Cricetulus griseus: one gene and its partners. The protein of the gene in region 1 interacts with the protein of each later gene in a pairwise test. Links are inferred from orthologs where the notes say so. Each region holds a gene or a part of one and is shown on either strand. Other genes may lie near its edges. The genes, in order: Lrrc7, Homez and Nqo2.

The links.
Region 2: the proteins of Lrrc7 (region 1) and Homez interact in a two-hybrid assay, tested with the Homo sapiens proteins (2 studies listed by BioGRID). The two-hybrid records come from large-scale screens. The link is inferred for Cricetulus griseus from reciprocal best matches to the Homo sapiens genes LRRC7 and HOMEZ.
Region 3: the proteins of Lrrc7 (region 1) and Nqo2 interact in a two-hybrid assay, tested with the Homo sapiens proteins (2 studies listed by BioGRID). The two-hybrid records come from large-scale screens. The link is inferred for Cricetulus griseus from reciprocal best matches to the Homo sapiens genes LRRC7 and NQO2.

The regions. Positions count from the first base shown.
Region 1 is NW_023276806.1:1,472,558-1,476,210, forward strand, and holds part of Lrrc7 (leucine-rich repeat-containing protein 7), read left to right. Parts: intron 1-2,017; coding exon 2,018-2,142; intron 2,143-3,653.
Region 2 is NW_023276807.1:210,051,040-210,054,348, reverse strand, and holds the end of Homez (homeobox and leucine zipper protein Homez), read left to right. Parts: coding exon 1-1,630; 3' UTR 1,631-2,751; downstream 2,752-3,309. UniProt on the Homo sapiens protein: May function as a transcriptional regulator.
Region 3 is NC_048596.1:253,798,780-253,803,110, forward strand, and holds the start of Nqo2 (ribosyldihydronicotinamide dehydrogenase [quinone]), read left to right. Parts: upstream 1-1,484; 5' UTR 1,485-1,637; intron 1,638-1,760; exon of another isoform or gene 1,761-1,886; intron 1,887-4,331. UniProt on the Homo sapiens protein: The enzyme apparently serves as a quinone reductase in connection with conjugation reactions of hydroquinones involved in detoxification pathways as well as in biosynthetic processes such as the vitamin K-dependent gamma-carboxylation of glutamate residues in prothrombin synthesis.

The DNA of each region.
Region 1 (3,653 bases):
CTGCATGTGCACACACATGTACCCAAATGCACATGAACACACAGGTGCACACATGCACACACACACACACACACTCACACACACACGCACGCACGCACATACACACACTTACACACACTTACACACACTCACACAGTCACACACTCACACGCACACACACACCACCAAAGAGAAAAGTCTTCCTCTTTATGGCGCACACAATAATAATGGAAATACTCTAGAGTGACTTCTCTAAGGGTCAGGCTGCAGGGTATGGGACCTGGTCATTAAATGTACCCAGCAACTGGCTGCAAGAGGAGAGGGCCTTCTCTTGTGCACACATATTGCACAGAGTATTTTAAAGATCAGGACAACAATCTTTGACCCCTACATGAGATTCCCTAAGCAGTATGAGAAGCATGATTAAAAAACAGTTTTTAAAAACCTAAACCTGTTAGAAGTCTTCTAGCCTGTGAGTGATCGTACTATTATAGAAAGTTTTAAGAAGGGGTTGCCTTTTCCTATTTGAGTAGCACTGGCTGGTGTGTGTTCTCTGTAGCTATGCAGAATCAGGATGGTTTCTTATGACAATGAACCCACTTTGATGCAGCCTCAGATAAACGCACGCTGTCTGAGATCAGCTTGAGAAATGGACCATTTGCTTGTGTGTTCCTCATTTTCAAGAATAATAATAAATGGCTTTAGTCTTTGACTTCCAGATGTAAATGAATCACTGGGGAATGTGTAAGGATGCATTTATTCAAATTTTGGCTTGCAGAAATATAAAAGGGGAAGATTTTTTTGAAGTATAATGTTCACATCTGAATAAATTGATCTTTTGATTTTATGAAAGAAAAACCACCACATTTTTGTAGCACAAAAAAAAACAAGTACGGACTGTTCTATTAACCTGAATTTGTTTTTTCTTCTTCGAAACATCCCTGGTCTTCAAAATAATGCAAAGAAAAGATAAGAAGTAACCAGATCCACAGGCTATCCCTGAGATCGATCTAGTGTGTCACCTAAGCCCCTGGTCAGGTCCCCAGTGTGAAGTCAGCAGTCATGTGACCCAAGTTGCAAAAGCATTTGCCTTTACTGTCTTGAATTTTCTGTTTGTTTTTCTCTTGAGGACTGAAAGTTTGGTGCAATAATTGAAAAATAATTCTTGGACTTCAGTCAATCAACTTCTGTCTGTTGGAAAAGAAAATAACAAACGAATTTTAAGAATTCTGTAAGACAGAGAAATTTGTGACAAAGGAAAATTCTTTGGAAAATGAGTTAGCTTCAACTAAGCACTTGTTACCGGGTTTCATGCAATTTTCATGCAATTATGTTACAAAGCAGATTTTACCATTAGACCACATTTTTACGTAAATAGTGATTTATAAACCATCTTCCCCGCTTATCTGAGGCACATTTAAATGAATTAAAACCATAGTGCTAAAACCGAATTCTCCATGTGTTCTCTACCTTGAAAATGAGGTTACTCCAGTCACATACACCTCCCACATACACACAAAGAACCAGCAAGAACATCAGCGTATTGGGCACTTTGCTAAAAAGTCACTGCTGTGTGTGATCTTACTTTGTTACAATGTGACACAGGCTCTGTAGTCGCTCCCACATGGTGTAGGGCCTGGAACCTGAGAGACCTGGGACAGAATCTTCATGAGAAAGATGATGCTAACGTGATTCCTCCACTGCTCTGAGGAATAACGAGACTGGAATGCTTCACCCAATCTCCATGCTGCTGCTGTTAGCCCAGGGGAACCCATTCCTATACTAGGAAAATTCCCAAACCTCATGACTAACAGCAAAACACTCAAGACATAAGAAACACCAAAAGGAATGTTCTGCTTCCCACTTCCTGTCCTTCCCGCGCTCTCCTTCGTCTTCCCCAATATCCTTTCCCAGTCCTTTTAAATGTATTGACTGTATTGATTAGTGGTGCTTGCTGTCTCTTTTTGCATAGTCTATTAAACTTTACTAAATACATCATGTATATTAGAGAAAAGCATTAATACTTTGGACTCCATAGATTTCCAGTCAGACAGCGACAGCTTCAACCCCACGCTGTGGGAAGAGCAGAGACAGCAGCGCATGACTGTTGCCTTTGAATTTGAGGATAAAAAAGAAGATGACGAAAGTGCTGGGAAAGTTAAGGTGAACTTTTGGCCTTTGTTTCTCTTGTTGTTCTGTCTGTCCGCTGTTATTATTCAGACAGAGGAGGGATCCACTATGTGACCTCTCTGGAAGGTCACAGTCATTTTCTATTCTTGTGAAGAGGCCCCAGTCTAGAGGGCCGGTGTTTGGGCAGCATTGGTGTGATTCAGAAAGAGAGGAATGTCCCGGTTCTGACTGAGCAAGTCTGATTTGCACTCCCTTCCATTCCCCCCCTCCCATAACAATGTGCGAGAGATTCAAGCTGAAAGTGGGAGGAAAGTCTAGGTGACTCTCATTCATCTGTAACATTCTACAATAATCCTTTTGGTCACTGGGCCGGGCCCCATGCAGACAGTACCAGCCAAAATATACATTTGTGGAAAACAAGCTGATTGGCGTGCGATAGTGATGTTACATCTCTAAATCTTCTACATGGCTGGTGTATTTGAAAAGAACTTTTGTTTCTTTATGTTTGAGTTTTAAAAGGAGGTGAGTGTCCAACCACAAGTGAAGATTTTTTTAGGCAAAATAATTCGTTTATTTTAACTGTATATTTTTAAGAAATCTTTTACTGTGACTAACCTGAACGAAGAAACAAGGCTAAACATTTAAGCCTGTATATTTCAGTTATTTAAATTTTTCAAATATGAGAATTGGCTGAGATATCATTAACAGTTTTTCATGTTATATCTTGGTGGCATCTTGAATCTCTCATTAATTTTTATATTATTTGTACAATTTTTCAAATAATACTAACAGCTTTCACTTGTAGTGACTAATGACCTAAGTAACTTACTATGCATCTTATTAATAAATCAAGATTGTGTGATGTGTTCCCTGTCCCCCACCTTACCACATTTTCTAAATGTCATTTCTTCAGCTGTCATTCATGATGACTGTGTCATTACGGAAAACTCAAAATGGAGTCATAAATCCAAAATGACATGCATTCTTTAAAAACTTTCTATTGAAGAAACATTTATGGATGATTGAATATTGCTGTCTTATGACCAAAGAGACATGGTTTAAAACTTGCGAATTCTTAGAAAATAATTACGCTAAATTCAGTACAAACCTTTAAAGCAATTCGGTTCCAGTTTCCGTCTTCAAGGATTTTGTGTTAAATCAAGATCCAGTGGGTGATGCATTCTGCTTTGGACTCTTGATTCATTTTTATATTTCATTGAATTGTCAAAATAACTACAGACTCCCTCTTAAAAAATCCATAGCCAAGGATAAAAAGGAAATACATTTAATATGCTCCATGGATGTGTTGATAGAATCATGAAATACAGAAGCGGAAGCAATAGACCAGAAACCCTGTTTGTGTGCTCTGTGATGAGTATGTCTGTGCTCATAAAGGGTTCCATGTGCTTTAGAATGATTCGATTTTTTCTCTGCATTTATTAACATTCACTCTATTTGTATTTTGGTAAAAACAATATGTTTTTCCAAAATCTCAAACTACTTGGCTTTGACTAATTTGGCTGTTCCCGATGCCATTGGCTATC
Region 2 (3,309 bases), on another chromosome or scaffold:
TCCTAATAAAGATGCCAGCAGTCTTAACAGCTCGGCAGCAGGGCTCATCTGCCTCCCTCCAATCTCTGAGGAGCTACAGCTTGTGTGGACTCAAGCAGCGCAAACCAGTGAGCTGGATGGAAATGAACACCTGCTACAAACCTTCAGCTACTTCCCCTATCCAAGCCTGGCAGATATTGCTCTCCTCTGCCTGAGATATGGGCTGCAGATGGAGAAGGTAAAGACCTGGTTCATGGCCCAACGGCTCCGCTGTGGCATTAGCTGGTCATCTGAAGAGATAGAAGAGACTCGAGCCCGAGTGGTGTACCACCGAGATCAGCTCCATTTCAAGTCTCTCCTCTCTTTCACAAATCACGCAGTGTGGCCCCCACCGGAGATGCCTCCAGTGCCCTCTCCAGAGCAGGTTGCTCTTGGACTGTGTCCTCTGGCTCTTGGTGAGCCCACCCAGATGAAAGGATTGAAGGTTGAGCCTGAGGAACCCTCTCAGGTACCACAGCTGCCACAGAGTCACCAGAAAGTGAAGGAACCTCTGATGACAGGCAGCAGAGCGTTACCCCACCAATCAGGTTTTTGTCAGGATCTTCAGATCAGTGGACTCTCTAAGGAGCAGGAAAGGGGTTCTGACCAGTCATGTGGTGTAGGGACTGCTTCCTGGAATCACTCCACAGCTGTTCATCAGCCACATGCTGAGGATAAGCCCCCACTGATCTCATTACTTGTCAGTAGTTGTAAGGAGGAATCAGCACCTAGTGGGACACCTCCATCTCCTCCTTTCCAGGTATTGGCTAATGGAACTACTGCCACCCCTAAACCCCTCCAGCCTTTGGGCTATATTCCACAGTCGTTCTCGCCTAGTGAGCAGGCACTGTCTCCACAAGTGGAACCACCCTGGCCCCAAAGGCTACGGAATAACTCAGTAGCAAATCGGGTTGGCCCCACAGAATACCTTTCACCAGATATGCAACACCAGCGAAAGACTAAGCGTAAAACCAAAGAACAGCTGGCCATCCTCAAATCCTTTTTTCTACAGTGCCAATGGGCACGACGAGAAGATTACCATAAATTAGAACAGATAACTGGTTTACCTCGCCCTGAGATCATTCAATGGTTTGGTGACACCCGATATGCCTTGAAGCATGGACAACTGAAATGGTTTCGGGACAATGCAGTACTTGGTGCCCCTACTTTTCAAGATCCAGCCATTCCCACACCATCAACTCATTCCTTGAAAGAATGGGTCAAGACACCGCCTCTGCCAGCCCCACCACCCCTACCAGACATACAACCTTTAACACCACCTCTGCCAGCCCTACCGCTCCCACCAGACATAAAACCTTTAGAGAGGTACTGGGCAACCCACCAGCAGCTGCAGGAAGCTGATATTCTTAAACTGAGTCAGGCATCAAGACTTAGCACTCAGCAAGTGCTGGATTGGTTTGACTCTCGATTGTCTGAGCCAGCGGAGGTGGTAGTTTGCCTAGATGAAGAGGAGGAGGAAGATGAAGAACTGCCAGAAGATGGTGAGGAAGAGGAGGAGGAGGAAGATGACGATGATGATGATGATGCCATACAGGACTGGGGGGTTGAGGAAGAAAAGGGTCTATTACCGAAAGATGAACCACCCTATTGACCGTTTAAACCTTTTTGAAACACACTGTCACAAAGAACTAAAAAGCTTTGTGTTTTTCAGAGTGGACAAGGCAGGATAAGTAATTTAACAGTAGACTGGGGAGGTAACCACACTAAGGTATTAGATCAACATAAACCAAATTCTCCAGACTCACTGTGGAGAGGGCCAGGGATCTGGGCAAACAATTGCTAGACAGGGCTCTTGCTTTCCTCTTACTCTTTTCCTTTAGTACGCTTAAGCCTTGTCTCAGCCCCCCATCTACATGAGACCTGGGATGGAGAGAAGTATTGTGATCCAAATCCTGCCGTCTGTCAGAGAATACAAGGCTGCTTTGTGCCCATTCCTGACTTTCTGAGCACATGCGCATGCATATTGCAGCTAGGATCTGCAGTGTCCCGGTTTTGTCATAGATATTTGTCATACCAGTTTGATGTTTTTACTCGTTTTGCCACTTGATTCATGCAGAAGTAGATACCTCTTGCTTCTAATACTGGGACCAATCTGCCTTCTACCATTTTATTTCTAAGAAATCTCCTCTTTGCTCACTATTGTCTCAGGGTAAATCTTTACACAGAGTCTGTGAAAAATTTTAAGAATCAGATTGTGAATGTTAGTCTGTATATTTATTGAATGTGGGGATTAGGGGATTTGCCCTTTAAAGTATGATGAGCTAGGCATGGTGCCTGTGATTACAACACTTAGCAGGTGGAGACAGGAAGATCAAGGAGTTCAAGGCCAGCCTTGACTACATAAGAGTCTGTCTTGAAACATAATGGCACAGTGTAACAGAGAAGGATAGTGGGGATGTTACAGGTTTGGATTTACAACCTGACACCACTTTCTGTCCAGACTGATATTGTTGGTTTTTTTTATTTTTTTTTTTATTTTTTTTCCTTTTTTGCTACTGGTTCAGTTTGTATCTAACAAGAAATGTTTCCCTCTTTATAGGATCTGTCTTGGTGACAGAAGGACCATGGTCTTCTAACTCAATGATGTTCTAGAATAAATGTCAACATTGGGGATCACTGGTAACAGTGGGTTAGTCGCCTGAAAATAGAGTGCAAGCACTAAATTGCTAAAATAATAAAAAAGGCCAAAAATAAAATTGTTTATTTTCTCCACTTTGCCTCTCCTATGGTTTAAAATCTTATATAATCTCTCTCTCTCTCTCTCTCTCTCTCTCTCTCTCTCTCTCTCTCTGTGTGTGTGTGTGTGTGTGTGTGTGTGTGTGTGTGTGTGTGTGTGTGTGTGTATGTGTGTATGTGTATGTGTGATTTTTCAAGACAGGGTTTCTCTGTGTATCTTTGGCTGTCCTGAAACTCACTCTGTAGACCATGCTGGCTTCAAACTCACATAGATTTGCCGGCCTCTGCCTTCTGAGTGCTGGGATTAAAGGCCTGTGCCACCATGCCTGGCTTTTTTTTTTTTTTTTTTTTTTTTTTTTTTTTTTTGATAGGCTTGCCTTGAGTTATGGCTGTAGTTGAACTTCTGCTCCTCCTGCTTCCACCTTCCAAGAGCTCTGCCAATGGGCTATATCTATACCAAGCCTGAGTCTAGGGGTTTGATGTAGTCAAGTCCATTAACAATCTAATTTAAGGGCTGGGTATGTAACTCAGCAATAGACCTCTTGCCTAGCATATATGACACCCTAATTTCAAGCTTCAGCACACTTTAAGATT
Region 3 (4,331 bases), on another chromosome or scaffold:
TGTAATGTGACTAGCTGTTCTCTTTCCCGTTGCCTTGACTTCCCTGCTATGATATACTGTAACCCGGATTGCTAGCTAAAATAAATCCTTTCTCCCTGCTTTTTTTTTTCCAGCTATCTATCACAGAAAAGAAACTAGAACACCAAGAGGATTAGAGGAAGGAAGAATGGTGAGTTATTATTTAATGGTATAGGACTCTGAGATAACTCAAGTAAGGTAGAAAGAGTTCCATTTTGCTGATGGTTTCAGAGGTTTTAGCTCAAGATTAGCTGTCTCCCTTTGCTTTCTGACCTGTGGAAAGATTAATTATCTTGGCAGAGAGTGCATGTGGAGGAGCCTGATTCATCTCATAGAGGCACAGGACCAAAGAGAGAGGAGACAGTGCCAGAGTACCCACTTCCCTTCAGTGGCATATCCCCAATGAGCCAACTTCTTCCCACAGGTACCTCCTACAGCTTCCAGCACCTCCAAAAGTGCCATGGCCTGGAGAACAAACCCTCAGCGTGTGGGCCTTTAGGGACCTACAAGATCCAAGCTATGGAATGGAAAAAGAGTTTTTGTTTGGAGTTGTGCAAAAGTTTTGGAAATCGGTAATAATAGTAACTAAAGATTGTGAATGTAACTAAAGCCACTTAATTTGACACATAACACACACACACACACACACACACACACACATACCTAACAAAACCTCGACCCCAAAATAGGTGAAAATTTTTTTCTGTGTTGTTATTTTTGGGGTTTTGTTTGTTTTGTTTTTGGAGACAAGGTCTCCTTAGTACAGGCTGGTCTTGAACTTATGGTCCTCCTGTTTCAGCCTCCTCTGTACTTGGGATAACAGGCTAACACCATCATATGCAGTTTCTCATCTATTTGAAAGGGGCCATTGCAGGACACTAGGAATTAAAGCAAGGAGCTTGGTAAAGGTTCTAGAGGAAGCCAAAATCACAGACTGGCTGCCAGCAGCACAAAAACAGCCTGGAAACAGACAAACCTAAAGTGCCCAGCAGCTCCCTTTGTCAGTGTCGCCAACCACAGCACTAGTTCCAAAACTTTCCATCTTCTAAGGGGAGGTCCTTGGCCTTGTAACATTTAATTTTAACCATATTTTATTTACACACACACACACACACACACACACACACACACACACACACACACACATCCTTTTCATAGTTTCCCCCACTGATGACATCTGGCAAGTGTCTTACCATGGAGTGACACTGATAGGGAAGCAAAGAATTCATCCCTCAACACAAAGATTGTTTTTATAGTCAGCCATTTCCCCTCCTAAATCTTGGCAACTACTACTCTGATTCCCCATCCCTGTAATTTGCTCTTTCGGGAAACAGAATCATGAAGTTCATAACTTTTGGGGATTGGCTGCTCTTACTGTGGGATACTCCCAGCCAACTGGAGCTGAGTGTATTCACAACTCATTCCTTTTTTGATTGCCTAGTAGTACACTGTGGGCGTTTTGTTTTGTTTTACCCGGATATATGTAGTGGCTGTGTATGATTATGTACAAGGCAGGAGAGCGCCTCTACCCTTCTTCCAGAACCGGCTTCCTGCCAGTCTCCAATCAGCTAGGAGCCAAACTGGTACTGCCCACAACCAATGGAGTCCAGCGCTAGCAGGTAACAGGTCAGGGACAGGGAGACTTGGGGAGGCAAAATAGAAGTCCACTGATCCCGCTTGTGGGTGGGCAATTATTGCCCATAGGCGCGGGAGGACAGTGTGAGGGCGGGTGAGGGGCGGAGCCCAGCGGGGGAAGCCGCCCTGCGTCCCAGTGCGCAGCCGTAGTGCCTGCCGGCTAGCTTTAGGCGTTCGTGCCCTGAAAAGCGGAGGTGTCTCATTGTGCGCTACGCTCCCTCCTGGAGGCCGAGGTGAGAGTCAGTTTACTGCTTCCCAAGGGCTAGCACCTCCTTCCTGCAAGCGACTTTAGGGATTGGGGGAATGGGACGGAAGATACCCCTTCTGGTTTTTAGCTTGCGAATTAGACCGTGAACTCATGTCCCTGAGGTTCCCTGTACCTTGAGCCTTTCTTAAAGTATCAGTAGACCGTACCACATTTGACCCATGTCCTGCTTAACAGAACGGTTGAGTTTGTCAGCCCACTTCTGGATAAAGAACAGCTGCGGGTTTGCTATTTATTACCAAAGGGTAAAAGTCAAAGCGGAGCCGAGAACCGAGTTTGTTCCCACTGCCTTCCCTTAACCCTGGCGCCTTCAAGCAGCTGCGGCTCACTCTACCTTCAAAGACTCTGGCTCAAAAGAAATATACCTTCTGGAACTACTAATGTGAAATTAGCAGTTTCGGTAACCTCTTATCTCTGGAAATCTCGGAGAGATACAGAAAACTGAACGCGTATGGATCACAGAAACCTCTAGTAGAGTCAAGTACAATAGGTATGGGGGGGTTGAGAAGATAACTTAAGTGAGCACAGAAGGCATGCGGAGATGATATCGCTGCAGGATGACATGCTAACTTAGAATGACCGCCATAGAGTCTGCCTGTGTGGAAGAACGGGGCATAGTAAATGATACAGTGAAAATATCAAAATAGCTGCTGGGTGTTTATCTCTAAATATCAGAGCTCATTTCATGTGGCTTGTCCCTTAACAACCACAGCCTCCCACCAAAGACAAAACACCTTGGATAAGTTGTAGTTTCCACCTAAGGAGAGCTATCGATCATCTCTGTGCCTGAGGGTGAACAGCCCTGTCAGGAGACTTTCTGTTCCTTCCCATTCCTTATTCTAGGAGAGTTGAGTAAGAGGAAATTCAACTCTGATGCACACACCGCCCTCCATTTACTGTAAGTGTGTAGACTGGGCTGAGTGGTACAGCTAGGGGTGGTGAAGCGAGGGGAGGCTGAAGAGACGGTATACTGTGCCTAGGGAGCTGCAGTGAAGCCCCAACTAAGGTGGCTCTGGTCCCTCATTTGGGGAATCTCAGGATGAATTTTGTTCATCTGCAGTGGCCCTGGGAACCTCTGAAAAAGTGGACCAGGCCATGGGGCTTTCTGCCTAAGGTCTTCTGTTATTCTTAGGAAAAATCTTTACCCTGCCCTATTTACTTGGTTATTCCCCATCCTGCTTCTTGGCTGCAACCCTCACTTCAAACCACAGCTCAGCTAAATAACCTTTCTTGATGTTTCTGGAACTCTCCAATTCAGCTCCCATTGGGTCCTTACTTGATTGCCTGCCTGCCTGCTTGGACTCTCTCTTGATCCAGGTTTCTGCATGGCTGGCTCAATATCACCATTTATTCACCGTCTCTCTTCTGACACCCCAGAGGAAATGTGGGCTTGTGGTGTCTATGTAATGTTTAGTGACTTTGAGATACGAGAAAGTCTCTGATCAGTGCTCTGCCAGAGATGAAGCTTTTGATCTGCTCTCTAAACTTGCAGTGTAAACCTCGGGAGGAACTTTGACCTCCTTCTCTAACCCTTCTAGTCTTAAGGCATATCCATGTCACAAGGCTCTAACCCTTCTAGTCTTAAGGCATATCCATGTCACAAGGCATTAAAAGGAGGGGAACCCTTAGCACCTTCAGCTCACAAGATTTTAACTTGCAAATAGCATTCATCAGAATAGCATTCATCAGAACAGAAAATACTTGGCACTGACTTCTCAGGAGGTCAAGGTCAATTCTGACTTTTAAAAGGTGAGACTGTACCCTGGGGAAGATTTCACCCAGCATGGAGCTTTCCACCTGTTGACCCAGCATAACCCTTGGTATCTTCCAAAATCCCTCAGCACCTAGCACACCACCACTATCATCAAATGAGGGTTTAAGACAAAAAACTCATCTCCATTTTCCTCAAAGGTTATGCTTGAAAAAAAATAAATCCACTTTCTCCCACCAGTCTTATAGAGCAGCATGTAATATGAGCATGGTGATACTGATTGGGTGTGTATTTAATGTGACAAACATCTTTCATCGAAATAAAGTGTTTCTTCAGGGTATCACTACTGCCACGGTCACTAGTACTTTCCACTGTCTGGGCTCTGTGCTTGCTTTGCCTACTTGTTGACTGTTCACTGTCTTTCCACTACCAAAGAGTATATGTAAAGCTCATTTCTCATTTGTGATGCTCACTTCTGTGTCTCAGCACCTCATTCAGTATCACACCAGATAGCTGCTTCACCATCCGGTTATTGTGAATAAAGCTTCGATGGACATGCAGGAACAAGCGGGTCTGTCTCAAAATCCTGTGTTTCAATACCTTTCAAGTAGTGAGTAGTCAGGGATGATCCTGAACTCCTAATCTAGGATTACTGGCATATTCTACCACACCCCAAAACCTGTTCAGATCCTACTTTGATTC